7 linked regions of the Xenopus tropicalis genome follow. The protein of the gene in region 5 purifies or fractionates together with the protein of the main gene of each other region. This does not show direct contact. Links are inferred from orthologs where the notes say so. Each region holds a gene or a part of one and is shown on either strand. Other genes may lie near its edges.

Region 1 (3,500 bases), on a different chromosome or scaffold from region 5:
ATTTCCAGTATCCTGCAATTTCAGATTAAGGCAGAAAACTTGTAAATGTACTTACCATATGTGAAACAGAGTGATTTTGTACATTTTGTTAAGTAACATGGAGTGCCCTCCTAGAATGCACTTACATGTGCAGTGAGCTCTGCTGCCAGTTGGAGTTAGGCTGATGCCACACCAGGCGTAGGGCTGATTTTTTCGGCAAGCGGAAAAAATCAGCCCTACGCCTGGTGTGGCATCAGCCTTAGTCTCTACAGAATGACAGTTATCAATGTCTCACAGCTGAAACATCTGAGGCTTAAGACTAATGCCACACGAGGCGTAGGGCGGATATTTTCGGCAAGCGGAAAAGCGCTTGCTGAAAATTCCGCCCTACGCCTCCTACATGTGCCTGCACCCGAATGAATGAGATACGCTCGGGTGCAGGCACATGTAGCCGATATGCGCATAAAAACACGAGACTTTGCATTATATATATATGGGCTACATGTGCCTGCACCCGAGCGTATCTCATTCATTCGGGTGCAGGCACATGTAGGAGGCATAGGGCGGAATTTTCAGCAAGCTCTTTTCCGCTTTCCGAAAATATCCGCCCTACGCCTCGTCTGGCATTAGCCTTACATTTATTACCATACCTGCAAAACAATGGTTCCAAATGCATGCTTCAGGATATTAACCACTTCTGCATGTGACAGCCCATCCACTGGTTGCTGGTTAATGCTGACAAGCCGATCCCCAACCTATACCCCACAAGCCCATGATAAAACATACAGGTCAGGATTAATTTCAAAAGATGGTTATTAAATATAATGCAGTACTGAATATTTTCTTTACTTTGCAATTTTGAGAATAGAAAATATTGCAAGATTAAGTAAGTACAAATTGAGAATTAACAGAATTTTGTTAAATGACAAATAAAAGGGCAGATTGGCACAATTCACTACTATAAACTTTGCCTCTACAACAAGCTGCTTAAATGTACAAGCAAAAAACGTCCTTACAGTAATATCTTCTATGGAAACAGCATAATATATAGATTGTAAGCTCTAAGGGGCAGGGACCTCCATTCTCTTGTGTCTTTGACTCTTAACTTATTGCAACTATATCTTTTATTTATTGTTAAACTTTATCTAATTTATTATTATCTTAATAACCCCGTTTGTATTAATGTATTCTACTTTACAGCGCTGCGTACAGTAGCGCTTTATAAATAAAGATATACATACATAATTCTAACATAGGCACTTGGTTTTTATAGGTCATTGCCATGTTTACCAATAAAACAAAGTATGATGAGAATGGGGCATAATTTGGTTTTCCTTCATTATGGTTAAAGGTCAATGAGAGAAGTAAAACATGTAGAACCATCTCACCATAATGTGCTTTTATTAAGACAAAATATAATTTGCTTATGCGTCATTACTGTTCGTAAAAGTCACATGGTGATAAAAACAGATACTTACTTTTAATTTGTGTGTCCGTGCTGCTACACCACTAGCTTGGATCATAGCAATGAAAACTGGGATATCTCCCAATGGGCTGCCTTTCCCTCCTGCGATACTGATCCCAAGAGCATCATAAGGGCCCTAACAAAGTGTGAAAATGGAAAGGTATTAAGTCATTGTATATTTCCCTCCAACTCTTATTATAGCAAGTGTAGTTTTTCTTTACTTACTCTATTAATTTCTACAGTCCGTGGCTCCAAGTCTGTGCCTGTATTTAAAGGGGATAGATATCTTAAATACTTATTCATTGAAAAAGTAAAAGTGAAGTGCTAAATTTAAAGGTAAAGCAAAAATAAAAAAACAAAACAAAACAAAGCACTACAATAGAAAGACAAATACAATAGGTGACCCCTGAAAGGGGCTGTCTCTAGATATTTGCTCTGAAGACATATTTCTCCTTCCCACAAGTTATCTGGATTACAGCCATATATAATACTATATTATTCTCTTCTGCAACACTGCCATGCTGTATATCACACAAGTAAATAGAGAACAACACATTAAAAAGGAAAACAAATGAAGGTGAGACATCACCCTGGTTCAGTAACTGCATTTCCATGTAGTCTTGACTGCAGTTCAGTTCAGAATACTGGTACTCAGAGTAAGGAATGTATTTGCTTATACTGGCTCCACCATGTATTTGTTTATTTAATTGTCCATTAGCAAAATGGTTGTAAAAATAAAATGAAATGGTAACAAAATATTAGGAAAGACAAACAAGCAATGGTCGTATGGTCCTACTAATCAATCACAGTACTGCGTACACAAATTTATTTCAGACACTCTGAATGCTAAACCTTTAGAATAGTAGTTAGGGCACAGCGAGCACAGAGAGACAGTAAGACTGAATGACCATTTACTGACTCAAAAATTATACCCAAGACTTTCTGATGATTTTAAAGTATATCTGTAGTATTCTTTGTCTGCTTTATCTTTTCAGAACCATTCCTTCTCTCTTTAATGCCACATATGTCACAGGCACAATAACTCCAAGCCACTGTAAAAAGGTAATAGAATTGTAGTACTGCACAGTATTTACCAGAATGCCTTTGTGATGAGTCTGCAGAGGATTTCTTGGAGCTAGCATAGTCTTGCATGCTGGAAATAACTGGAGTTAATGATGGAGGAAGAACACCATGGGAACTCATTTGGTTGATCTAGAGTGCAATTCAGTAATATGTTCTTCAGTTTAAATGGTACAAACAGACATTACATCCATGCATTACTTAAGAGGCAATAAAAATATTTTTTATATTTCTTTAGGTGAAATTTCCCCAAGTGGCTGCAAGTTACATTTATACCACAAATGGATACACATTTTGAATTAACCCGTAAACTAGCATATAATATAATTTATAACACAACAAATAATACTAGTTGTTAAAATAAAATCTGGCTAGGTTAATGAGAATAAATACACATTATTTCCTTCTACTAACACAATTATTGTGTTTATTATAGGCTTGCATATTATCTGACCTACATCTTGCTTTTTCTCACTTACTCTTTGTATGTCTCTAGAAATCTAGAACAGTTACTTGCAAAAAGTTTTAAACAATGAACAACCAGATTATTTAGGCTTGTTAGCAGTGTATCCTCTGGCTTCTCTGCATTACAAGTCTCTATTAATATTATGTTTTTAGCTATTTTAGGAATCTTTGAAAGTGCCTATTATTTTAATATCTGCCTTTTGCCTTTCTTTGGTCTGAAATACTTAGTGTTCTAGTTCAGAAACAGTGAAAGAGCTATAGACTGGGAAACTCAAGAATGAAAAGTACTGCTACAAATAAATACCCATTTTTCAAACAAGGCTAGTTGCTCTACAATTAGTTGTTACACTATTTTGGGCCAATATACAGCCCAAAAAGCCAATACAGTCAACGGGTCTTCTGTGTGGATTCTTATATTGAGTGAAAAAAAAATGACTTTTAGATCTAATAAAGAATTACCTGTTACTTACAATACAGATACAGTTGTACGGTTTCACAGGTTATACAATAA
Region 2 (3,500 bases), on a different chromosome or scaffold from region 5:
TTTGAATGATTTGCTTTTCTACATCTTTCCAGCTTTCAAATGGGGGTCACAGACCCCAGTAGCTAAAAAAACAATTGCATTGTTTCTAAAAGTTCATTTAAAGGGGAACAACCCCTTTTAGGCAATTCAATACGATTTATGTGTGCTAAACTGTTCTCAAAGAATTACATCAAACAATAATGGCAAAAATATTTACGTCTGTTTGATATGCTGTTGTTCTTTCTCATTAGCAGTGCATATCTTGTCATCGAAGTGAAATGTGTCATCAGTGACTGGGGGTGGTACATAGTTCGTATCCGGACCAAGAGCAGTAAAGCATGAACGCATCCCAGAATACGAGTCACTGCAGCAGTGAGCAACTCCATCATTTGCAAAATTCTTCTTTTGCTTTTCACACAGCTTTCCAAAGAGTATGCTAAGCTTTAAAGGGAAGTGAAAAACAGGACATCAATATCAACAATCTTTAAAACAGTGTTTGTTAAATAATGACAAATTATATATCAGCAATATTTTACGTGTCAAAGGCTCACTATTATATATATTTTATACAATAGTGAGTCTAGTATATTATTTTTTTTGCGACCATTATTTTTTCTCTTTACATCAGACTTTCTATCTTGAAAAGTACCTGTCTCTATTATGCACAATCCAGTGGACTTAAGAGGATGCTTAATTATGCTTTTTTTTACTAACTGCTTTAATTATTTAGAGTTTTAGAGATGTAAATGGTTTATAGCTGTGATTCCTTAACCTAAGCTGTTTGTTATTCTCGCAAGTAAATGAACCATACTAGATGTCTGTAGCCCATTGCAAACAAGAGATTCACTTGTCCATAGTAAACATTTCTAAGGTTAAAATGGTTGATAATTCCTTAAGAACTATGAAAATTATACTTCACATCTGTATCTACATTACTACTGCATGTTATCAAGAAGTCATATGGGATTACAGTTAAACAAGTGCAGTAATGTGAAGTCAGTCATATGTGTTCAGAAATGGCACCATTGTAATGGTGTGTTCTATGTACTCAAATTGGCTTGGAAGTGTGTGTAGAGTAGCTGTATTAAATATATTTTAGGTAACTATACTATAATGGTAACTAGCTGTGCACTATATTTGGGTTTATTGAGTAATGTTGCTGGGCTCTATGTGCTTAATATCAGTCCCCAGATATGATATTCTAAACGTTTTTCTTATGGTGCTGTGTTTGTTTGTAGGTGTGTGCATGTTTGTAGATGGGTGGACAAAGAGTCAGTATTTCATACATTATAAAGCTGTAATTAGGTTATATAGAAAAAATGCACTAGAAGTTGGCAGAAAGGTTTGCATAAACCCAAGCAAAACATAACAAACAATATATACATACGTCTCCTTCTGCACATGGCAACCTCTGGTTTTCTGGTAGGGCACAGCAGTGTTCACCAATATCTGCCATTTGGTGTGCTAATCCAATCAAACCTTTACTTGATACTGTGGGCATTTTCTTGGCGTACCTTATAAGAGCGCTAAAACAAAAGAAGAAAAAACTTAGGGGCAGATTTACTAAAACTTGAATTTATCTCATTTTATTTTCAGGAAGTTGAAAACTTTAGTACCCAAGGCCTCCGTTGTTTATTCTTCTTCTGATCCTGGCCTCTTCACACTTCTATATAAATTCAAATTCTATTCTGTAACCTACTCCCATCTAGTGTATTAAGTATATAAGTTCCACACAGGACGCTGTCACTTTGCTTGTTTGACAAAAATTGGAAAACTGGGCAGCAAAATGGAAAATGACGTTCAATGTTGAAAAGTGCAAAGTTATGCGCTTTGGTAGAAATAATATAAATGCTAGTTATATACTAAATGGCAGTTTGTTGGGTTATCCTTAATTGAGAATGATCTGGGGATATTGTAGATAGCAAGTTGTCTAATTCCAGGCAGTGTCATTCTGTGGCTACTAAAGCAAATAAAGTGCTGTCTTGTATAAAAAAGGGCATTGACTCAAGAGATGAAAACATAATTTTTCCTCTTTATAGGTCTCTGGTAAGGCATCACCTTGAGTATGCAGTGCAGTTTTGGGCTCCAGTCCTTAAGGTAATACTGACAGTAAAAAATTACTCTTCAAAATATTAATGTACATTAAAAGTCATACTGATCGTTTTTTACTGACAGTACTGCTTTTGTAAGTAATTGTTACTTGAACCTAACTGTTGTGCCAATCTGACTGTACCTTCCCAGCTTGTAAGTTGTTGCTTTTAATGCTAATGGACTATGGCAGCACAAATATGCCAGCCTCCTCACAGAGGAACATGGGGGATCAGATAGGTATTGTAAAAGCATTGGGCAAATACTTTTATGGCAAAATTATAAATAGCATTCAAAGACAATGTTATGATAAACGCAAAAAAAAGGTTTAATTTCTGGTGTCAGTGTCTCTTTAAGAAGGATATTAATGAGCTGGAGAGAGTGCAGAGACGTGCAACTAAACTGGTAAAGGGGATGGAAGATTTAAGCTATGAGGTGAGACTGTCGAGGTTGGGGTTGTTTTCTCTGGAAAAGAGGCGCTTGCGAGGGGACATGATTACTCTGTACAAGTACATTAGAGGGGATTATAGGCAGATGGGGATATTCTTTTTTCCCATATAAATGATCAGCGCACCAGAGGCCACCCCTTTAGATTAGAGGAACGGAACTTTTGAAGCAGAGTAGATGGTTTTTCAAGGTGAGGGCAGTGAGGTTGTGGAATGCCCTTCCTAGTGATGTGGTAATGGCAGATTCTGTTAATGCCTTTAAGAGGGGTCTGGATGAGTTCCTAAACATGCATAGTATCCAAAGCTATTGTGACACTATAATCTACAGTTAGTATTAATGTTGGAATATAGGGTTTATGTGTGTGAATGTATACATAGGTCAGTATATGTTTGTGTTTGAGCTAAGTTCACTTGATGGTCTTTTTTCAACCCAACTTACCTATGTAACTAGACCAACAGTTTCTGGACCTGAAAAATGTACTTGTGCTAAATCTTTATGTTACTTAAAGGAGAAGGAAAGGCATTTTACTTATATACTTACTTATTATATTTGTGCTGGGTTCAGGAAGGGTTGAACTTGATGGACTCTGGTCTTTTTCAACCCTATGTAACTATGTATTCTATAGATAGGATTCTTATATACAAGGCTCTAGCCAGGACAATAAGTTTCATTGAATATAAATGACCATGCCACAACACCCATATCTCTCCAAGTGCAAATAAACAAAGAAATAGGATATCTATATCTGTGAAACTTACTCATTTTCAAAAAGGTATTCACCATGTTCTTGCAGAGCATCACAGTTTTGTTTCAAATATGCAAATCTCTCCTTGGCTTCATTTAAGAACAAGTTAGCCTAATAAAAAAGGATAAGAATTCTAATTAGTAATGAGGCCTGTTTCACTCTAATGCTTATCTAAAAACATTTGGGGTTTAGTTGTTTAGTAACTACACTGCTTTTCAGGACCCCATGCAATAACAGGGCC
Region 3 (3,829 bases), on a different chromosome or scaffold from region 5:
CGCAGTTTCGCGAATTTTTCGCCGTTTCGCGGATCTTTTCAAAGATTCGCGAATTTTTCGGCGAAGCGAAACGGAACAGATTCGCTCATCACTAGTCACCTCCTGTACTGACTGTATTGTAACAATGTCCTCTAAATAGCGGAATGTGTATTTTTGAGTAGCATTGTTTTAATCTGGAATTAAAGCTGCAGAAAGTGTATATTATGTCTATAACTAGTCAGTTTATGAAGGAAGATAAATGGCAAACCAGCATTTGTTCTAGCACAAAGTTAATGCATAGAATGCCCTCTAGTGGTGGGTGTAAAAGCTCTGTGTGTACAATGAGAAACGAAATAAACGAATATATGTCACACAGAGATTAATATCAGCATCACAAGACGGGCATCGCATTTATAGATAAACTTTGTGGCAGCTAATGAAAATAGCCGAAATATTATGTTTATAGCCCAAAGTCCTGTGAATAAACTCTCAAACTCGAGGAAAAACGACAGAGCAAAGGATTTGTTAGAATAACTTTTATTCTTTATGCAAAACACATTCCCAAAAGAACATTAATTTCTTTAAAATAAATTATTTTTATATTTAACTCTTGTATTTATATATATATGCTTTAAACAGCAGATAGCTTGTGGATGAGGTATTTAGCCAAATTGGGTTTGGTATAACTGGTAAGCAGCAGAAAGTGACCATAGAGGGGGTAAAATCTGCAGTAACGTAAGTCCGGACAGCACCATGACATGCTTAGCCTCTTCTGGAAAGGCATGCAGAACACTGCAAAGCACAGTATTTAAAGTTAAGTCCACTTTGGATGAACCCTGGTTCCGTTTGCACGAGTTCCTACAGCTGGGCTGCTCTCTTTCTAATGGTCTAGGGGGCGGGGCTTGGAATAGAAATCTATATCAAATGTAAAGCAGGCTGGCACATTTGGTAGAAGCGGCTCTTGCTTCATGAATTTCTATCCATGGCTGCAATGCAATAGTCCCAATCAGCTCATTTAGTTTGGTCCAAGCCCTCTCTTCTAGTTGACCATGGGAAAGAGAGCAGCCAGGTACTTGAAACTCAGATAACTGGATTCCTTAGCCTGGGTAAAATGATACCCAGGTTAAGATAGTCTGGATTCGATAAGATAGTGTGGTTCTTGGTACAGCTAAAGGAAACATGACCAAGTGGACTAACCCTTTGAACAAGCTTTCGGCAGAGATCTGTTAAAGAAACACCACTATATGTATCAAACAGCAAACTTTGGCATTAACAAGGCAGTTAAACAAGCAGAAAGCAGTTTGATTTTAACCATTAAGGCTGTGGAAAAAAACAGAACTGAAGTGGTTGAACCAACAGAGGCTATGCTCTGTTTTAGACATGAAGGAGATGCCCTGTGGCCAAGGAGTAAAAGTCAGAAAGCAGGACGACTGCAGCAGTAAGGTTTATTGGGTTTTCTTGTCTTCTGGTGGGAAGTAAGGGGGTGGTGGAGGGAGGTCCTGAAGAGAAAGAGATAATGTAATAGAGATCGAGTAGGGCAGTGAGTGAGAAAAGACAGGGTAAACATACGAAGCTTACCGGTGGCATGTAGGAGTGTGGGGGGTTCTGTTGGCTATAGTAGCCACTTGCAGCAGCTTCTGCAGCCTTGGCTTCCGCTACATGAAAGAACACAAGTCAGCTTATTGTGTGCCCAGAACATTCCATCTCTGTATATTTGTATTTATACATATGGGTAGGGGGTGCCATAGTGTTTCCCTTAGACTGTACAGTATGGGGGTACAGCTTATTGTGTGCCCAGAACATTCCATCTCTGTATATTTGTATTTATACATATGGGTAGGAGGTGCCATAGTGTTTCGCTTAGACAGTACAGTATGGGGATACAGCTTATTGTGTGCCCAGAACATTCCTTCTCTGTATATTTGTATTTATACATATGGGTAGGGGGTGCCATAGTGTTTCCCTTAGACAGTACAGTATGAGGGTACAGCTTATTGTGTGCCCAGAACATTCCTTCTCTGTATATTTGTATTTATACATATGGGTAGGGGGTGCCATATTGTTTCCCTTAGACAGTACAGTATGAGGGTACAGCTTATTGTGTGCCCAGAACATGCCTTCTCTGTATATTTGTATTTATACATATGGGTAGGGGGTGCCATAGTGTTTCCCTTAGACAGTACAGTATGGGGGTACAGCTTATTGTGTGCCCAGAACATTCCTTCTCTGTATATTTGTATTTATACATATGGGTAGGAGGTGCCATAGTGTTTCCCTTAGACAGTTTAGTATGAGGCTATTGTTTCTCTCTCACCTGCTGGAGTGGAAGGCAGATCAGGGGCACAGGCTGACGGAGGCTCCATAGGCCCAGGGTAAGGGGGAGGTGGAGGGTGCATGTAGGTGAGGGATCCGCCCTGTGCAGCTGCTCCTGAGTAAAACTCTGAAAGAGATGAAGGTTATGAACTAAAGGATAAAATAAAGTAAAAACAATCTGGATTTCTCTATTTGCTTTGGAAAAGTCTCAAATCTCTTATTTCTCACATAAAAAAAACCTGTCTTGTTCATTAAAGGGGAAGTATATGCTGTACTTAACTCTATAAAACAAATACCTCACGTGCAGGGCTGGAACTAGGGGCAGGCAGAAGAGGCACCTCCCTAAGGCGCATTGGTGGGGGGAGGGGGCACCAGGCAGGTACCTCTTCTGTCACCTACCACCGGTTCTGGACCCTTTCCCCGACTGTGGCCCTTGTTACCCCCTGCCGCCCTGTCTGCGTATGCGCCGGTGCAATAATTCCGTGTTTTTTGCCAAAGCTGAGGCATTCTCCATACTCTGCTATGGAACAGCACCTCTAGTGGTAATATATATTATACTGTTATTGTCGTTTATTGAGCTTATGTCATTTATGGAGCATGACAGGATTGTCTCTATCAGCACATAATACAGGTATGGGACCTGTTATCCAGAATGCTCAGGGATCTGGGTTTTTTCCGGATAATGGGTCTTTCCATAATGTGGATCTCTATACTTTAAACAAAAAAATCATTAAACATTAATTAAACCCAATAGGATTGTTTTGCCTCCAATAAGGATTCATTATATCTTAGTTGGGATCAAGTACAGGTACTGTTTTATTATTACAGAGAAAAGGGAATCATTTAACCATTAAATAAACCCAATAGGGCTGTTCTGCCCCCAATAAGGGGTAATTATATCTTAGTTGGGATCAAGTACAGGTACTGTTTTATTATTACAGAGAAAAGGGAATCATTTAACCATTAAATAAACCCAATAGGGCTGTTCTGCCCCCAATAAGGGGTAATTATATCTTAGTTGGGATCAAGTACAGGTACTGTTTTATTATTACAGAGAAAAGGGAATCATTTAACCATGAAATAAACCCAATAGGGCTGTTCTGCCCCAATAAGGGGTAATTATATCTTAGTTGGGATCAAGTACAGGTACTGTTTTATTATTACAGAGAAAAGGGAATCATTTAACCATTAAATAAACCCAATAGGGCTGTTCTGCCCCAATAAGGGGTAATTATATCTTAGTTGGGATCAAGTACAGGTACTGTTTTATTATTACAGAGAAAAGGGGAATCATTTAACCATTAAATAAACCCAATAGGGCTGTTCTGCCCCCAATAAGGGGTAATTATATCTTAGTTGGGATCAAGTACAGGTACTGTTTTATTATTACAGAGAAAAGGGAATCATTTAACCATTAAATAAACTCAATAGGGCTGTTCTGCCCCAATAAGGGGTAATTATATCTTAGTTGGGATCAAGTACAGGTACTGTTTTATTATTACAGAGAAAAAGTAAATGATTTTGAAAAATTTGAATT
Region 4 (3,500 bases), on a different chromosome or scaffold from region 5:
CTTCCCGTTTATTGGCAAATTGCGGCTCGGGAATGGAATCTTCTCTCACCCCCGTGGGAAAAAAAAAGTCTTTTTAAAGCTTCCACAACCATTTTTGGTGATGAAAACTCTTTGGAATGGTTCAGTTGGACATAAATAATGATCAAGAAATAAGAGTTTTAAGGCCATGTGTGCTTGTAACCATCTCATTTGAAACATAGTGGCAAAAATATTTTGCCAAATCAGTTTACTTGCATTATTTTTTTTATTTATAAAAGCCTATAAAAGTTAAAAATAGTGACATCCAAAAAGTTCATTTAAAAAAAAGGCACTTCTGTGTTCTGTGGAAAAATGTCTTCCTATTGGCTGTTCTGTCATCAGTAAGGCCTCCATACGGATTCATCCATTCGACCAGTGGAGTTTAACACAGTAGGAGAGCTGCTGTGGCTTCCGTCTGCATCCACCCCATCATTCTGATTGGCCAGATTGGGGTTAAGCAATGTGCCCCCGTTGGACGTGGTGCAGGGTGGTAGCATCCGAGATGGAGATCTGTCACCCCCGGGAACCATGGGGAACTGGTATGATCCAGATGATGTACCGTAGTAAAGGTAGGGAGTGCTGCTGGTTTGGAATGGTCCACTTTGATTCTGGGAGGAGCCTGGATAAGGGGGTGGTAGGTAGGTATGATAGTGAGTGGTTGCAGACATACCTAAAGACATCCCTGTGGTGACAGGAGGACTATACGTGAATGTGGCAGGATAGTGCATTCGTGGGTTGGAAAACCGACTCTCTGTTAATGATGAAATACTTGTAAACTGCCGCGGATCGGAGAATGGACCCAGTTCCGAAGCACCTAAACAAAGAAAAACAAATGTCAATATATTTGTTTTAAATGTGGTCCTTTGGTAAATCTGTACAATCAATTATTTATCAAAATTTCTACTCTGTGTTTGGGATTGTTACATGACCTGTGCAAGTCCAACAAAAGCTAAATGCTGATTGGTTACTGAACCGAGACAGACTATTTGGCTGTAAAAGATTTACTAAAATCTCAAGTTATATTGATTTTCTTTCACTCTCTCTTTCTCTGTATACAGGTATAGGACCCGTTATTCCGGATAAGGGGTCTCCATACCTTAAGTTCACTAAAAAATCAATAAAACATTAATTAAATCCATTAGGATTGTTTTTTTGCATCCAATAAGGATTATTTATATCTTAGTTGGGATCAAGTACAGGTACTGTTTTATTATTACAGAGAAAAGGGAATCATTTAACCATTAAATAAACCCAATAGGGCTGTTCTGCCCCAATAAGGGGTAATTATATCTTAGTTGGGATCAAGTACAGGTACTGTTTTATTATTACAGAGAAAAGGGAGTCATTTAACCATTAAATAAACCCAATAGGGCTGTTCTGCCCCCAATAAGGGGTAATTATATCTTAGTTGGGATCAATTACAGGTACTGTTTTATTATTACAGAGAAAAGGGAATCATTTAACCATTAAATAAACCCAATAGGGCTGTTCTGCCCCCAATAAGGGGTAATTATATCTTAGTTGGGATCAAGTACAGGTACTGTTTTATTATTACAGAGAAAAGGGAATCATTTAACCATTAAATAAACCCAATAGGGCTGTTCTGCCCCCAATAAGGGGTAATTATATCTTAGTTGGGATCAAGTACAGGTACTGTTTTATTATTACAGAGAAAAGGGAATAATTTAACCATGAAATAAACCCAATAGGGCTGTTCTGCCCCCAATAAGGGGTAATTATATCTTAGTTGGGATCAAGTACAGGTACTGTTTTATTATTACAGAGAAAAAGGAAATCAGTTTTAAAATTCTGAATTATTTGATTAAAATGGAGTCTGTGGGAGACAGGTTTTCTGTAATTCGAAACTTTCTGGATAACGGGTTTCTGGATAAGGGATCCTATACCTGTATAGCATAACTAAATTTAGAAACATTTTTGAAATTTGAATAACAGAATTTCAAGTTTCTCTAATGCAAAACTGAAGATTTTATCTGAGAATTGCTTTTCATGGGCATTAAGGTTACAAATATCTTTAAAACCATTGGAAATTTTTCATGAATGATGGTTGGAAATATGCATAGAATTACATTTTCTTGAATTAGGCAAATAATGACTAGGAAACAGAGAGTAAATATGTATACTGTATATATACACACACACACACATATATTCAGCCAGACCACGCAACTTTAAAAAAAAAAAGCAGACATTTTTCAAAAGGCGACAGTCACACCTCTGCTAATATAAACCTTTTCTTGTCCTTATGATTTTTGCCTCGGTGCCTTTCGGTCAGAAACTCGGAACAATTAAATTTCCATATGTTTCCATTTATTTTGCTGCAAAAGCGTCATTAAGGCCAGGGTCTGGCTACAATCCAGCCGTGCTCAATGAGCTTTTTCTTGTCTCCATTAGCCCTCTACCTGCTCCCGGTCTCTAGGAACCGTAGCCCCCACAAATGTTTATGGCCGCCAGGTAATGTCACTTGTCATTCATTTTACAGCTTCGAGCCCAAAAGATGTGGTTTGCTGGAAATCATAAAAAGAGTAAATTTCTTCCAGAATTCCTACACTTTAGCTTTTCACTCTCAATTACCCCATGCCTGGTGCTGCTAAGCCTTCATCCCCGTGTCACATTAATCACACCCTAATCTCCCCATTAATTTGATAAGTTGAACGCAGCCATTTTCCAGTTTTCTGCAGTCGGTTCCCATTATCTTCTACTGAGTCAAAAATATATTGCGAGCTCTGCAATGTTTATATCGAGTAGGGAAAGCCGACCTCCAGTGATTGCTTACATATAGCAGTCGGAGGGAGATTCCGCCACAGTGTTGTGACTTATAGGAACATATCGGCTAATAAACATAGACAGAGGGTCATTTTTGTGTTCAGGGAGGCTAATTAAAGACATTTTCTACACAGTATCCCAGGGCTAATTCCAAGTGTAATACCCCAGTACACATGGCAAGATAAATACAGTGCCAATTCTATATATAATGCCCCCAGAACACATATCTGGATAAATACAGTGCCAGTGCTATATACAGTATAATGCCCCCAGAAAACATTGCAGGATAAATACTATGCCAGTTCTATATATAATGCACCAGAACAAAGATCAGGATAAAAACAGTGCCAGTTCTATATACATAATGCCCCCAGAACACATTGCAGGATAAATACAGTGCCAGTTCTATATATAATGCACCAGAACAAATATCAGGATAAATACAGTGCTAGTTCTATATACATAATGCCCCCAGAACACACTGCAGGATAAATACAGTGCCTGTTCTATATATAATGCACCAGAACAAATATTAAGATTAATACAGTGCCAGTTCTATATATAATGCCCCCAGAACACATGACAGGATAAATACTATGCCAGTTCTACATATATAATGCCCCCAGAACACATGACAGGATAAATACAGTGCCAGTTCTATATATAATGCCCCCAGAACAAATATCAGGATAAATACA
Region 5 (2,588 bases):
CTGAGAGTACACAAAGTGACTGAGAAGCGTTGGTATGGCAGTACTGCTACCATAATAAGAACACTACATTTCTAAAAAAAAACAAAAAAAAAACACCTTTATACAAAATGTTATATTGGGTTTAGGACGTGGTCTCTAGTCTCTGGGATTGGCTGGTGAATTCCAAACGATTTGCGTGCTATGTACATGAGCCCCGTCGGCTGCAGCGCTTCCCAAGCATCCTTGATCCGTGTAGGCCAAACCAATGTCTGAAAAAGGCAGCTATAGCAGGAAAAGACTGGTGTGGTTGATTCATAAGGCTCTTTCAAATATATCAGACGCAATGAAGCAGCAATGGGTGGAGAATACTAAAAACATCAAAAAATAATTGTTTGTTTTTTTTTTAAAAAAGTAGTTTTTGCTCGCCGCCTGATATTTTTTCTGTATATATCATAAACTCAGTTTCACCTCCAGACATGAACAATCCTTCGGGTATTTAGAAATCAGTTTTGCAGATGCTTCTATAACCACGTGAGGAAACTTTCCTTATCTAGTTTGGTTGCTGCCAGAACGGATTCCATATCGTTGAGGATGTCGGAACTGAGAGCTTCTTGAAGGCTCGGCATAAGTTCTTCCCCTTCCACATTCATGGCTTCTCCCTCTAGCGTGCCAAGGTCCACATTTGTGCCAGGAAGGGTTTCCAAATAGTCTGGGAACCGGTTCTGTTGGGTAGGTATTGTACTTTGGGTAATAGCTTCACCTAGAAACAGAATGCAACAGTAACCTGTCAGTTCCGAGTTCTATTTAAAATCTTTAAAAGGAGCATTATGCTGCTAAAATGTACCTTTCCTCAATACAGTTATGGTTTTATGAACATTTAATTAGGGCTATGCAGTTCTTTGTACTAAATATATCCAGTTTATACTTAGCACTTATTTTTTTGTATTGTTATACTCTTATTTCAATGTCTCCTCAGGACCGGCCAGACCGGGGGTGAGCGAGTGTAGGACCGGCCAGGCCGGGGGTGAGCGAGTGTAGGACCGGCCACACCGGGGGTGAGCGAGTGTAGGACCGGCCACACCGGGGGTGAGCGAGTGTAGGACCGGCCACACCGGGGGTGAGCGAGTGTAGGACCGGCCACACCGGGGGTGAGCGAGTGTAGGACGGCCACACCGGGGTGAGCGAGTGTAGGACCGGCCACACCGGGGGTGAGCGAGTGTAGGACCGGCCACACCGGGGGTGAGCGAGTGTAGGACCGGCCACACCGGGGGTGAGCGAGTGTAGGACCGGCCACACCGGGGGTGAGCGAGTGTAGGACCGGCCACACCGGGGGTGAGCGAGTGTAGGACCGGCCACACCGGGGGTGAGCGAGTGTAGGACCGGCCACACCGGGGGTGAGCGAGTGTAGGACCGGCCACACCGGGGGTGAGCGAGTGTAGGACCGGCCACACCGGGGGTGAGCGAGTGTAGGACCGGCCACACCGGGGGTGAGCGAGTGTAGGACCGGCCACACCGGGGGTGAGCGAGTGTAGGACCGGCCACACCGGGGGTGACAGTGACGTAGTTGGTCAGCTTGAATATATTGCAATATATGGGCAAACAATCCCTGTTTTGCTTAAAGGGGTGGGGGGGGGCATATCTTAGTAGATTGGGGGTATTCCGTGGGTACCTGACAGAGGTTGGGATTCAGTCAAAGAAGACTGACTATGCAGGTGGGGTGTGGGTACCCTGCAGGGGAAGTTAGGAGAGATGTGGGCTGTTTTGTAGAATTTCAGTGATCTGCCCACATGTGGCATCACTTCTAGGGTCATGTGGTGCATTCTACGATGGCAGCTTGGACATTATTATTTGGATCCGACAGCCTGGCAAAGATGGTGATACGGGTCTACTGAACTAGACCTTCTCAAGGACAGTGCCCTTTAATCAAACAACTTATACATGAGGTTCAAACCCTACAGATTGTAACTGTGTGCCCCTAATGGCGAGACAAACTGACCTGTGTCCATTTCATCAACACTGTTGAGGAAATCGTCGGGAGTCCTGGGTACACTGTAACTGCTCATGCTCAACCCGCTGTCAGTGCTTTCGTCTCTGGAGTGATATGTTCCACTGATGAGAAAGAAATATGGTTAAATAAAGCTCAGAAAGTATATACTACCAAGCAAGAAGACCTTCCAAAACAGTTTATATTTACTGTGGGTTGTCTTTAATGTAGATTATCCTCTGCATACCTGCCAGTGTGTAACTGTGTGATTACTGTGGATGTTGTGCTACTAATTGCTGGGGCTCATTTATCAACACCTGAGGTGTTACTTATGGCAACAAATTACATTTCCGCTTTCAATGTCCTTCCTTCAGCTAGTTAAAAAAAAAAAAAAAGCATCTCATTGCCGATTGGTTGCTATATACTGCTCAGTGTTGGTAAATGAGCCCCAGTGTGTCTCATACAGCCTGTTACTAGGAAGCAAGTTCATGGCGGGCGGGAGCAGCTAAATATTACAAGGGGTCACTAGAGGGAGATAAGAATTGGCCCAAACCTGTTGAGGAATGGATCGGAGCTGTTCATTGTCATTGTTCTCATCTCCTGGGAAATCCCTGTTGAACACACT
Region 6 (4,177 bases), on a different chromosome or scaffold from region 5:
ATACTTCTCTACGTACATAAATTACGTATTTGCGCACTCTTTACAATACTGTGGCTGGCCAGTGGACAATAACTACTGGATGGCTGGAATTCCATAATATTGATCTACAGCCAACATGCCATTATAAATAAACATGCTCCAGTTGACAGATGTTTTAAAGGGTAAACTTTAAATGCAATCCTACAGTAGAGATATTCCATCTACATCGTGAAGATGTTTGCATAGTATGGTTAGAAGTCTGTGCTCACCTGACTTCAGACTGGTGATATACAGGCAGTTCCCCAGAATAATGCCTTTGTTCTGTTGTGTATCCTCGTATGTCCTGTACTGGTTGATTAAAATGAGGGTACTCCGGAGGAGCACCCCTATACTGTCCCCTATCTTCCTGTTGCTCACGAGCCACCGATAGCTGGTAATGCCTTGAAAGCTGTGGGAAGCTATGAGAGGAGCTCATAAGGTTTTGAGGCTTGGCACCATTTCGCTCCAAAGACATCTGCAGCAGACGTTCACTTAAGGACCTGACATGGCCATGTTTCAAATCCTTAAGGGATTGGTCTTGCCGATGACCACCATGTTCCACTGGCTGGGTGTTCTGGGCTGCATAGTACTGTGAGAGTGCCGCTTTGGCTTCTTCATAAGTTGGCAATTCCTCGCCTTTGTGTTGAAATTCATGAGCCTTATACATGGGGTTTTCCAAGTAGAAATAGTCACAATGATACTCCTGGCCTTGGGGTTCTTGCCTTGCTGAAGGAGCCATTTGAATCTCTTCCTGTTCAAGACTTTCTAGGGATGATCTGGGACTTCCACTGCCACCTCCAGCCCGCAGAGCCTGCTCCTGGATAGCCAACAATGTACGGTTATCACTAAGATTCCCATATCTTAGTTGCTCCTGAATGAGACGGTGTAGAACCGTTCCAGAGGAATCCTCGGCTGTTCTCATCCTTAACAAGTAAATAAATCCTCAGTCAAGTGGAAAATATAAGTAATGGATTATAATCCTATTCGACTGTTGGGGAGAGCCTGTGGAACAAGAAAAAAATATATGTTTTAAGACAAAATTCTTCCAAATAACACAAGAAGGATGTGACAGTGATGGTTTTATGTCTCATCATAACATCAAGTCAATGTTCACAATGCTTAAAAGTCATGTTCACAAAGGAACAAAGAACCCTGGAGGATTCTAACTGGATTTTCCAATACAACATACACACGTTCTACTTACTTTGCTAAGAAATAGAGCTTCATTGACTTGTAAGCTGCTGATTTTTAGGCAATTAACTGCTTGTTTTTTTGGAGGTGATGGATATCAGAGGAATGGAATTTCCTCCCTTTACTAATCCCCCCCCTCCTGTCCACACATATACACACACCTCCCTTTCTATGTAGATAAAGCCCACTGTATCTATGGTATGCCCCCCTGCTGCCTCTGCCTTATAGCCCTCCCCTTGAATTCCACATTTCCTAGTTGAAGTTGAACAACCAAAAACAGTGCCAGTATTTATTTAGTTTCAGGCCTCCATAGCAAAGAAAATAAATACTGGGATTCCATCCCTAACCAACAAAAATACGGCATGTAAGAATCTTTTAATGCTGTTAAACACTCCTTGTAGCAGATTTAGTATAAATAGCCATCACAACAAATTCCCCCTTTCACTAAAACTTCTAAAATATATTTATATATATATATATATATATATATATATATATATTTATATATATATATAGGTATGTACATAGGGCCAAACCTGAACGTTCCCTTGTCTCTTACGGGAAAATATTTTCCAGCACGTAGGAGGCGAGAGCACCTTTAGCATAGCTAAGAAGTGACATCACTGGCTTCTTTGTGTTGCAATTGACATTCTTTGTGAATTGCAGCCTTCCCTCTACCCCACACAGGCCCGTTCTAAAAACAAGAATCATAATAAGAATAGAATATAGTTGGTGGATTGCTGCTGCCATGGCTAAGGTGGCAAAACACCTGCTAATCCCCCCTTTGTCTCCTTTAAAATGACATAAATGTTGTCCCTTAGATGACACTTTGTACACAAGGAATATACAATACTCAGGCATCACAGGCCCCCAGAATTTCTCAGGCACCAACAGCACCCTACATAAATACCATTGTGACAAATGACCAGTCATTGGGGGCTTTTATTCTATAGATAAGTCTATAGAGACAAAGACATACGGTATATACACATGCATACATATATAGAAACACAACAGTTTGCACATAGACTAAAGCTGTGGGTGCTGGGAGTTGCTCAGGTACCAACACAAACATTATACATTATCTACATTGAGCATTATTGCATATACAAGAAACTGAATATAAATACAGACAGACATACACAAGAAGTATTTCTATTCATTCTAGAGCAGCAGCTTTTAGATTGCAAGTTCTGCGGGACACCAGCTTAATGAAAGACTGTGTAGCAATGGTACCCATGTATAATAAACAACTGTCCTTATTCTAGCTGCTTGCGAGACATGTGACTCACAGACCGCAGTAATGCGCCGGGGGTACGATATGTACATACAGTGCGCAAATAAAAACAGAAAATAAAGGTAAAAGCAAGCGCAGGGCAGAGTGTAGGAAAGAGCGTACTCACCCGAGCATAGCCAGTGTGTGCGCAGCAGACTGGGCTCTCGGTGCGACTGTGTCGGTGCGACTGTGCCCGTACTTTCCCTGTGCGCAGTGAGCTGTGTGCTGCCTGAGAGCGCTGAGCAGACTGATCCCGCAGCACTCACGCCGCTCTAGTGCTTCAATAGCTTTGCTATGCGCGGAATGTGAGAGTTTCAGGCTCCCCCTGGGATAAAGCTATAACCACACATAACCTTTCTCCCTCCCTCCTCCACTCAGCATTCTGCCCGCCTCCTCTCATACTTTCCCTCCGGGCTGCACTCCAGTGAGCGGCCGCTGGGGGCGGAAGATCTCCCCGCGTTGGAGCCGCTAGCAGAGAGCACGCATTACTGTTGTTATTACATGTTTCTGTATAATGGCGGCTAATTATGAGGCGCCTAATTGTGCTGTCCGCACTGCCTTACAATAACAGGCACGGAAGCTCATAATAACTGTACATCAAACGAGAATACCGCCTGGGTACATCTTTCAGACTTAGAGATCAGATTTTTTTAAATAGAGCTTGTGGTAATTCCTGGTCCCCCCCTTGCTTCCATGGACACAACTGACTTTGCTCCAAGCCAATTTTACCATGATTCTGTTTAATGACACCAGAAGTGGCACCATTTAATATTGCCCCACAATTACAGTGCAGTTGTGGCGCTGCTGCCATAAGGGCAGTTGGGAAATTTACCTCAGGCAGCTGCACACTACAAGTTACTATTGTGCCCCCTCCCCTGATATATCTTCATTCAAACATTCTAATTTTTAAATAGGAATTGCAGCTCTGCTAGAGAAATGCATCCCCCCTGACCTGCTCAGACCCAAAAAACTAAATATTTTTGCCCCCCCCCCCCCCAGTATATCTTCAAGAGCAAATATTCTAATTTTTAAATAGGAATTTCAGATTTGCTAGAGAAATGCATCCCCCCCTGACCTGCTCCGATGCAAAAAACTAAAAGTGTGGGGGTCATATCAACTAGGCCGCTGAGTGGTACTGGGTTCTGCAATGCCCCTGGGTGATACTCTGGGGTACAATGCTGAATTGTGGTGAAAATCAAAATGAATCAGAAATTGATACTATTCCCTCGTTAAGCATAGCCAGCCACTACACATTTTATTTTGGCAGATATTCAGGCACATATACTCTCTGTTAGAAATAGATAATGCCCGCGGACCCCGAGCAGAGTTGGGTAAGAATGCTATACGCAGGAGGTGCTATTGTATTCACTGGCTATACAGCTTGCTATTCCAATTAAGCCATTGTCTCATATCAGTGGCTACAGATCTATGGTGCTCGTTGGCATGGAACCTAGCTTACAACTGAGAAAATAGCCTGTTGTAACATAAAAAAAGCCACTTTCTGCTTGGCCAGGAAGGGCTTCTTTACTGTCCGTCAAGGGGCTGATCTGTTTCCCTTTGATGAAAATAAATGACAGTAGGTCATAGTTTATGGCAGACCTTTCCACAATTATCTCTACGGCTATAACTGGTATGCCCAGACTGAACACATTGCAGCTAAGTGCTAATTTCTTCTCATTTTGCATTTTCTCC
Region 7 (3,966 bases), on a different chromosome or scaffold from region 5:
GGCCCTCTCTGTTTCCAGCCTTTCATCCAAACCACTCCAAGGTTGCTAAGGAAACTTGAACCCTAGCAATCAAAAATGAAGACCAATTTCAAATTGTCTCAGAATATCTAGAAGTTAATTCAAAGGTGAACAACCCCTTTAACTGAAACGATACACAGAACAGTCAATGTATATATATTGACTTGGGGCTGGGGACATCCCGATGATGGAAACGCGCCAATGTCAATGGCACTACGACTGAACAATAAATATTTTGAACTTATATATTTTTTGAGCCATGAGTGTTTTGCTTTTTTGTTTTTATATATAAAATTATTTTTTCTACAATGTGGCTGAATTGCTTATAATTTACAGATAACAAAATCAGCTTCAGCCAGGAAACACACAGTATAATGTCACGATTGCTGTGAACATTATACAGCACAATACACAATTAGTCAAGCATGCTGAAAGCCTTCCTATAGAGCTTGTGGTTGCACAAGTCACAGGGTATCCACATGCACCAAATTTACATTTAACATAACGAGTGTAAATGAGTGGGTGATAGGTACACAATTTACACATATATACTAAAATTGCAGATGTTCAAAATAATAGGATTCCTCCCATTTACAGGAATAATTACCTATCACAGGAATTACCAACCGTTTGGGCTAGGGCCCTATTTGCCTCCTGACAGTTTGCTGGGACCACACCTCATTCCCTGGCACCATTACTAGCCTACCACTCTTTAGGGAGTTATAGAGATCCACAATTAAGTGGAAAAAGATCTGCCATGTATTAGAAAACATTGAAAATAATAATAAAAAGTGGCCAAAACCAAACAGTTAATAGTAAATAATGAATTAGCTGATGCACTTTTATATTTCCATGAACATGGGTTAATGGAAGACATTTAAGAAGGTCTGTATTGACAAAAATTTCAGTTTTACAATAAGACAAATTTATTAAAAAATTCACAGTGAGAAAGTTACAATAAATTAATGTAATAATGTATGACAGCTGGCCCCATGACAACTGCACATGAACAACGTGATCATATTATAGACACTGGGGACATTTTAATCCATTTTTGGTAGATATTTTCATTTATTTTGCTGGTTCCCTCTCTAAGAACTAATTGCTGCAGTGAAAGTGCTAGGCAGAAATGCTTATTTACACTCCATAATTTTACCACTATGTTTCTCAAACAGTTGTCATCTGTAAGTAACCAACACTTGTACAGCGCTAAAGAAAATAACATTGTTTTTAATAAACAGATAATATTTTTTGACCTTGGCATTTGTGTATAACACAAAACCCTTCCAGACCATCAGCATTACAAATATTATCAGATGTGGTATACACAGAGTCACTAAACCGCAAGCTGTCAAAAGCTTGGTCTTCAGACTACTGTTTCGGGTTGTACTGTTTCTTCATAATATTCTTTCTTATATATTTCACAGTACCAGAGAAAAGTGTGGTATTTCTGAAATATAAGTCTTGCTTCACTGGTTATGTTTCATACCAATGCCCATCTAATAATAAACCAAATGGGGATAACTTTACAGTTAAATTATCAGCCTTCGGGCAGAATTTAGTTAAAACATTTTTGGTGCCCAAACATAAAAAACCTCATTGTTCTATAAATCTTTGATTAAAACGCTGGGTTTTACAGAGAACTTTACACGCACCCAAATAAACTCATACATTACCAGGGTAACTGTAATGACAAAAGATGTTATGTGCAGAGTACTCAAGGAGATGGGTCTTACCATTCAAGCCATTGGGAATACTTCTGTGGTGAGGGGGGATGGACAGGTCATCAGTTGATTTCCTAACTGTCCCAGCTTTGTTCTCAGTTGGTTTTGTGTGGTGGTGATGATGGTGGTGATGGTCAGGGCTACCCGCGCTGCCAGTGCTGGAAGTGCTGCTGCCGTCCCCCACATCTCTAGGGCCAGAACTTCCATTCAAATTGGTCAAGCTGTTTTGGCTATCGATGGAGCTTCTGGACCCAGCACCATTCCTCTCCTCATCTAACATGAGGATGATCTCCTTCAACTCCAGGTTGTCCCTTATTAAGGACTCCTGCTTTGCCTCCAGCTCCTTCAGCTTCTGCTGGTAAACCCCAACCTCCTTCCACATCATAGTGGCTGAGTGCCTACCAAACCTCTGCCATTCCCTGGACAGTTTCTTGCCCTTCTGTCTGTCATCATCCAAGAAACAGCAGAGTTCCCGTAGCTCCTGGTTGTCATCCTGAAGTTTCTGGTTGACTTCCTTTAGCCCCCTGATCTCATGGAGATGGACCTGAAGCCTCCTGTTCACATCTTTCATCATATTGCCATGCTCCACCATCAGGCTCATCTTCTCATTCTCCACTTTCCTCAGCCTCTTGGCCAGCTCCTCTTTGCTCCAGCGCAGCAGCTCCTCGTCCGAGATGGTGCCGATATCTTCTGCCGCTGCTCCCTGGCAATGTTTGGCCATGGCAACGGAGATAACACGCCGAAATAAAGCAGAAATAAGAATATCCTCTAGCGTGTAACTAACCAGCCATGTCTCTAGCTAGAATGGCTTTTCAATCAAGCAGAGTCCTGGCTGCAAAGGCTCATTCATTGCTGGCATATCCCAGAGTCCTGGGAACTTGTTCAGTATCTGAAGCAACAACGCCGGGGAGTGTGAGTAGAGGGACTGCCAGCGGGCTCATGTGTAAGTGGGTGCCTGTAGCCACACGCAGAAAAGGTTTCCTCGGTTGCTCAGTGGCGATGTCCAGCCGGCAGCTAATCCTCCAACTCCTCAGTGTGAGCGCAATGGCACGGCTTTGCTGCCTCCTCACAACTAAGCCCTCCGACTCCCCCTTCCCTCTGTCTGTGCTGCTGGAGGGTTTTTTTTTACCTTTCTTTTAAACGAGCTTTATTGGCACATACAGAGCGCAGGCGTGTCCCGAAGACTGAGCGCTATTCACAGCGAGCTAACTAGGTCAACGTTCAGCTCTGGTTAAAAAATAACAAATCGGCTGTAAGGAAGGGAAGGAGCCTGGGAAACAGCGCTGCAGCACTGACTGCTGGAAATCACTGGCCAACCTTCTTATCGCTCACTTTAGTTATGAGCCACTGCCAGCCTTAACTTTCCTATAAGTAGATATATGAAGCAGCTTCATTAGGCTGTTAATATAGGGATTAGCAGGAAAAAAACGTTTCAGCGCTGCCTACTTATAGTAGTATATTGGGTGTTTTCCCTGTACACACAGTCACAGAGTACAGCACTGTTGTTGCATTGCTGCAATATACCTTGCAGCAGTGTTAAATTATGCATTGCTCTTGTTTGCTGCATTGTTTAATTGTGCATGTCTGCATTTTTCAGTTGTGCACTGCTGCACTTGTGCATTGATGTAGTGTTTAGCTGTGCACTGTTCCTGTGCATTGCTGCAGTGTGTAGGTGTGCATTTCTGCAGTTTAGTTGAGCATTAATACAATGCATAGTTGTGCATTGCTGCAGTGCTTTGTTCTGCATTGTCCCTGTGTATTACTGCAGTGTGTAATTGTACTTGGCTGCATTTGTTTAGTTGTGCGTTAGTACAGCGCTAAGTTGTATTGCTGCAGTGTTTTGTTCTGAATTGTCCCATGCATTGCTGCAGTTTGTAGTTGGGCTTTACTGCATTGTTTATTCATGCATTACTACACTGCATAGTTGTGCATAGTAGTACATTACTACAGTGCATAGTTGTGTATTGCTGAATAGTTTAGTTGTTTATTGCTGCATTGTTTAGTTGTGCATTGCTGCAGTGTTATGTTGTACATTGCTGCATTGCTTAGTTGTTTTTTACTACAGTGCTTAGTAAGTGCATTGCTGCAGTATTTAGTTGTGTGCTGTTTCTGTTCATCATTGCAGTGTTTAGTTGTGCATTGCCACAATGTTTAGTTGTGCATTGCTGCATTGCTTAGTTGTGCATTGCTCCTATGAATTGCTGTATTGATTCGTTTGCGCATT

Evidence for each region.
Region 1: the proteins of yap1 (region 5) and patj purify together in Homo sapiens (affinity purification with mass spectrometry; 7 studies listed by BioGRID and IntAct, with this or other methods). This does not show direct contact. The link is inferred for Xenopus tropicalis from reciprocal best matches to the Homo sapiens genes YAP1 and PATJ.
Region 2: the proteins of yap1 (region 5) and alb purify together in Homo sapiens (affinity purification with mass spectrometry, with the first as the bait; 3 studies listed by BioGRID). This does not show direct contact. The link is inferred for Xenopus tropicalis from reciprocal best matches to the Homo sapiens genes YAP1 and ALB.
Region 3: the proteins of yap1 (region 5) and wbp2 purify together in Homo sapiens (affinity purification with mass spectrometry; 7 studies listed by BioGRID and IntAct, with this or other methods). This does not show direct contact. The link is inferred for Xenopus tropicalis from reciprocal best matches to the Homo sapiens genes YAP1 and WBP2.
Region 4: the proteins of yap1 (region 5) and runx2 purify together in Homo sapiens (affinity purification with western blotting; 4 studies listed by BioGRID and IntAct, with this or other methods). This does not show direct contact. The link is inferred for Xenopus tropicalis from reciprocal best matches to the Homo sapiens genes YAP1 and RUNX2.
Region 6: the proteins of yap1 (region 5) and amotl2 purify together in Homo sapiens (affinity purification with mass spectrometry; 10 studies listed by BioGRID and IntAct, with this or other methods). This does not show direct contact. The link is inferred for Xenopus tropicalis from reciprocal best matches to the Homo sapiens genes YAP1 and AMOTL2.
Region 7: the proteins of yap1 (region 5) and ccdc85c purify together in Homo sapiens (affinity purification with mass spectrometry; 5 studies listed by BioGRID and IntAct, with this or other methods). This does not show direct contact. The link is inferred for Xenopus tropicalis from reciprocal best matches to the Homo sapiens genes YAP1 and CCDC85C.

The regions. Positions count from the first base shown.
Region 1 is NC_030680.2:85,652,428-85,655,927, forward strand, and holds part of patj (inaD-like protein), read right to left. Parts: intron 2,657-3,500; coding exon 2,539-2,656; intron 1,708-2,538; coding exon 1,670-1,707; intron 1,581-1,669; coding exon 1,458-1,580; intron 735-1,457; coding exon 630-734; intron 1-629.
Region 2 is NC_030677.2:80,150,261-80,153,760, forward strand, and holds part of alb (albumin precursor), read right to left. Parts: intron 3,371-3,500; coding exon 3,273-3,370; intron 1,506-3,272; coding exon 1,367-1,505; intron 421-1,366; coding exon 197-420; intron 1-196. UniProt on the Homo sapiens protein: Binds water, Ca(2+), Na(+), K(+), fatty acids, hormones, bilirubin and drugs. Its main function is the regulation of the colloidal osmotic pressure of blood. Major zinc transporter in plasma, typically binds about 80% of all plasma zinc.
Region 3 is NC_030686.2:44,865,580-44,869,408, forward strand, and holds the end of wbp2 (WW domain-binding protein 2), read right to left. Parts: intron 2,420-3,829; coding exon 2,294-2,419; intron 1,635-2,293; coding exon 1,558-1,634; intron 1,479-1,557; coding exon 1,425-1,478; 3' UTR 501-1,424; downstream 1-500. UniProt on the Homo sapiens protein: Acts as a transcriptional coactivator of estrogen and progesterone receptors (ESR1 and PGR) upon hormone activation. In presence of estrogen, binds to ESR1-responsive promoters. Synergizes with YAP1 to enhance PGR activity.
Region 4 is NC_030681.2:147,509,874-147,513,373, forward strand, and holds part of runx2 (runt-related transcription factor 2), read right to left. Parts: intron 833-3,500; coding exon 357-832; 3' UTR 1-356. UniProt on the Homo sapiens protein: Transcription factor involved in osteoblastic differentiation and skeletal morphogenesis. Essential for the maturation of osteoblasts and both intramembranous and endochondral ossification.
Region 5 is NC_030678.2:162,264,145-162,266,732, forward strand, and holds the end of yap1 (transcriptional coactivator YAP1), read right to left. Parts: coding exon 2,517-2,588; intron 2,089-2,516; coding exon 1,976-2,088; intron 740-1,975; coding exon 501-739; downstream 1-500. UniProt on the Homo sapiens protein: Transcriptional regulator with dual roles as a coactivator and corepressor. Critical downstream regulatory target in the Hippo signaling pathway, crucial for organ size control and tumor suppression by restricting proliferation and promoting apoptosis.
Region 6 is NC_030681.2:130,254,009-130,258,185, forward strand, and holds the start of amotl2 (angiomotin-like protein 2), read right to left. Parts: upstream 2,801-4,177; 5' UTR 2,613-2,800; intron 1,306-2,612; exon of another isoform or gene 1,223-1,305; intron 1,021-1,222; 5' UTR 941-1,020; coding exon 249-940; intron 1-248. UniProt on the Homo sapiens protein: Regulates the translocation of phosphorylated SRC to peripheral cell-matrix adhesion sites. Required for proper architecture of actin filaments.
Region 7 is NC_030684.2:90,720,597-90,724,562, forward strand, and holds the start of ccdc85c (coiled-coil domain-containing protein 85C), read right to left. Parts: upstream 2,801-3,966; 5' UTR 2,464-2,800; coding exon 1,755-2,463; intron 1-1,754. UniProt on the Homo sapiens protein: May play a role in cell-cell adhesion and epithelium development through its interaction with proteins of the beta-catenin family. May play an important role in cortical development, especially in the maintenance of radial glia.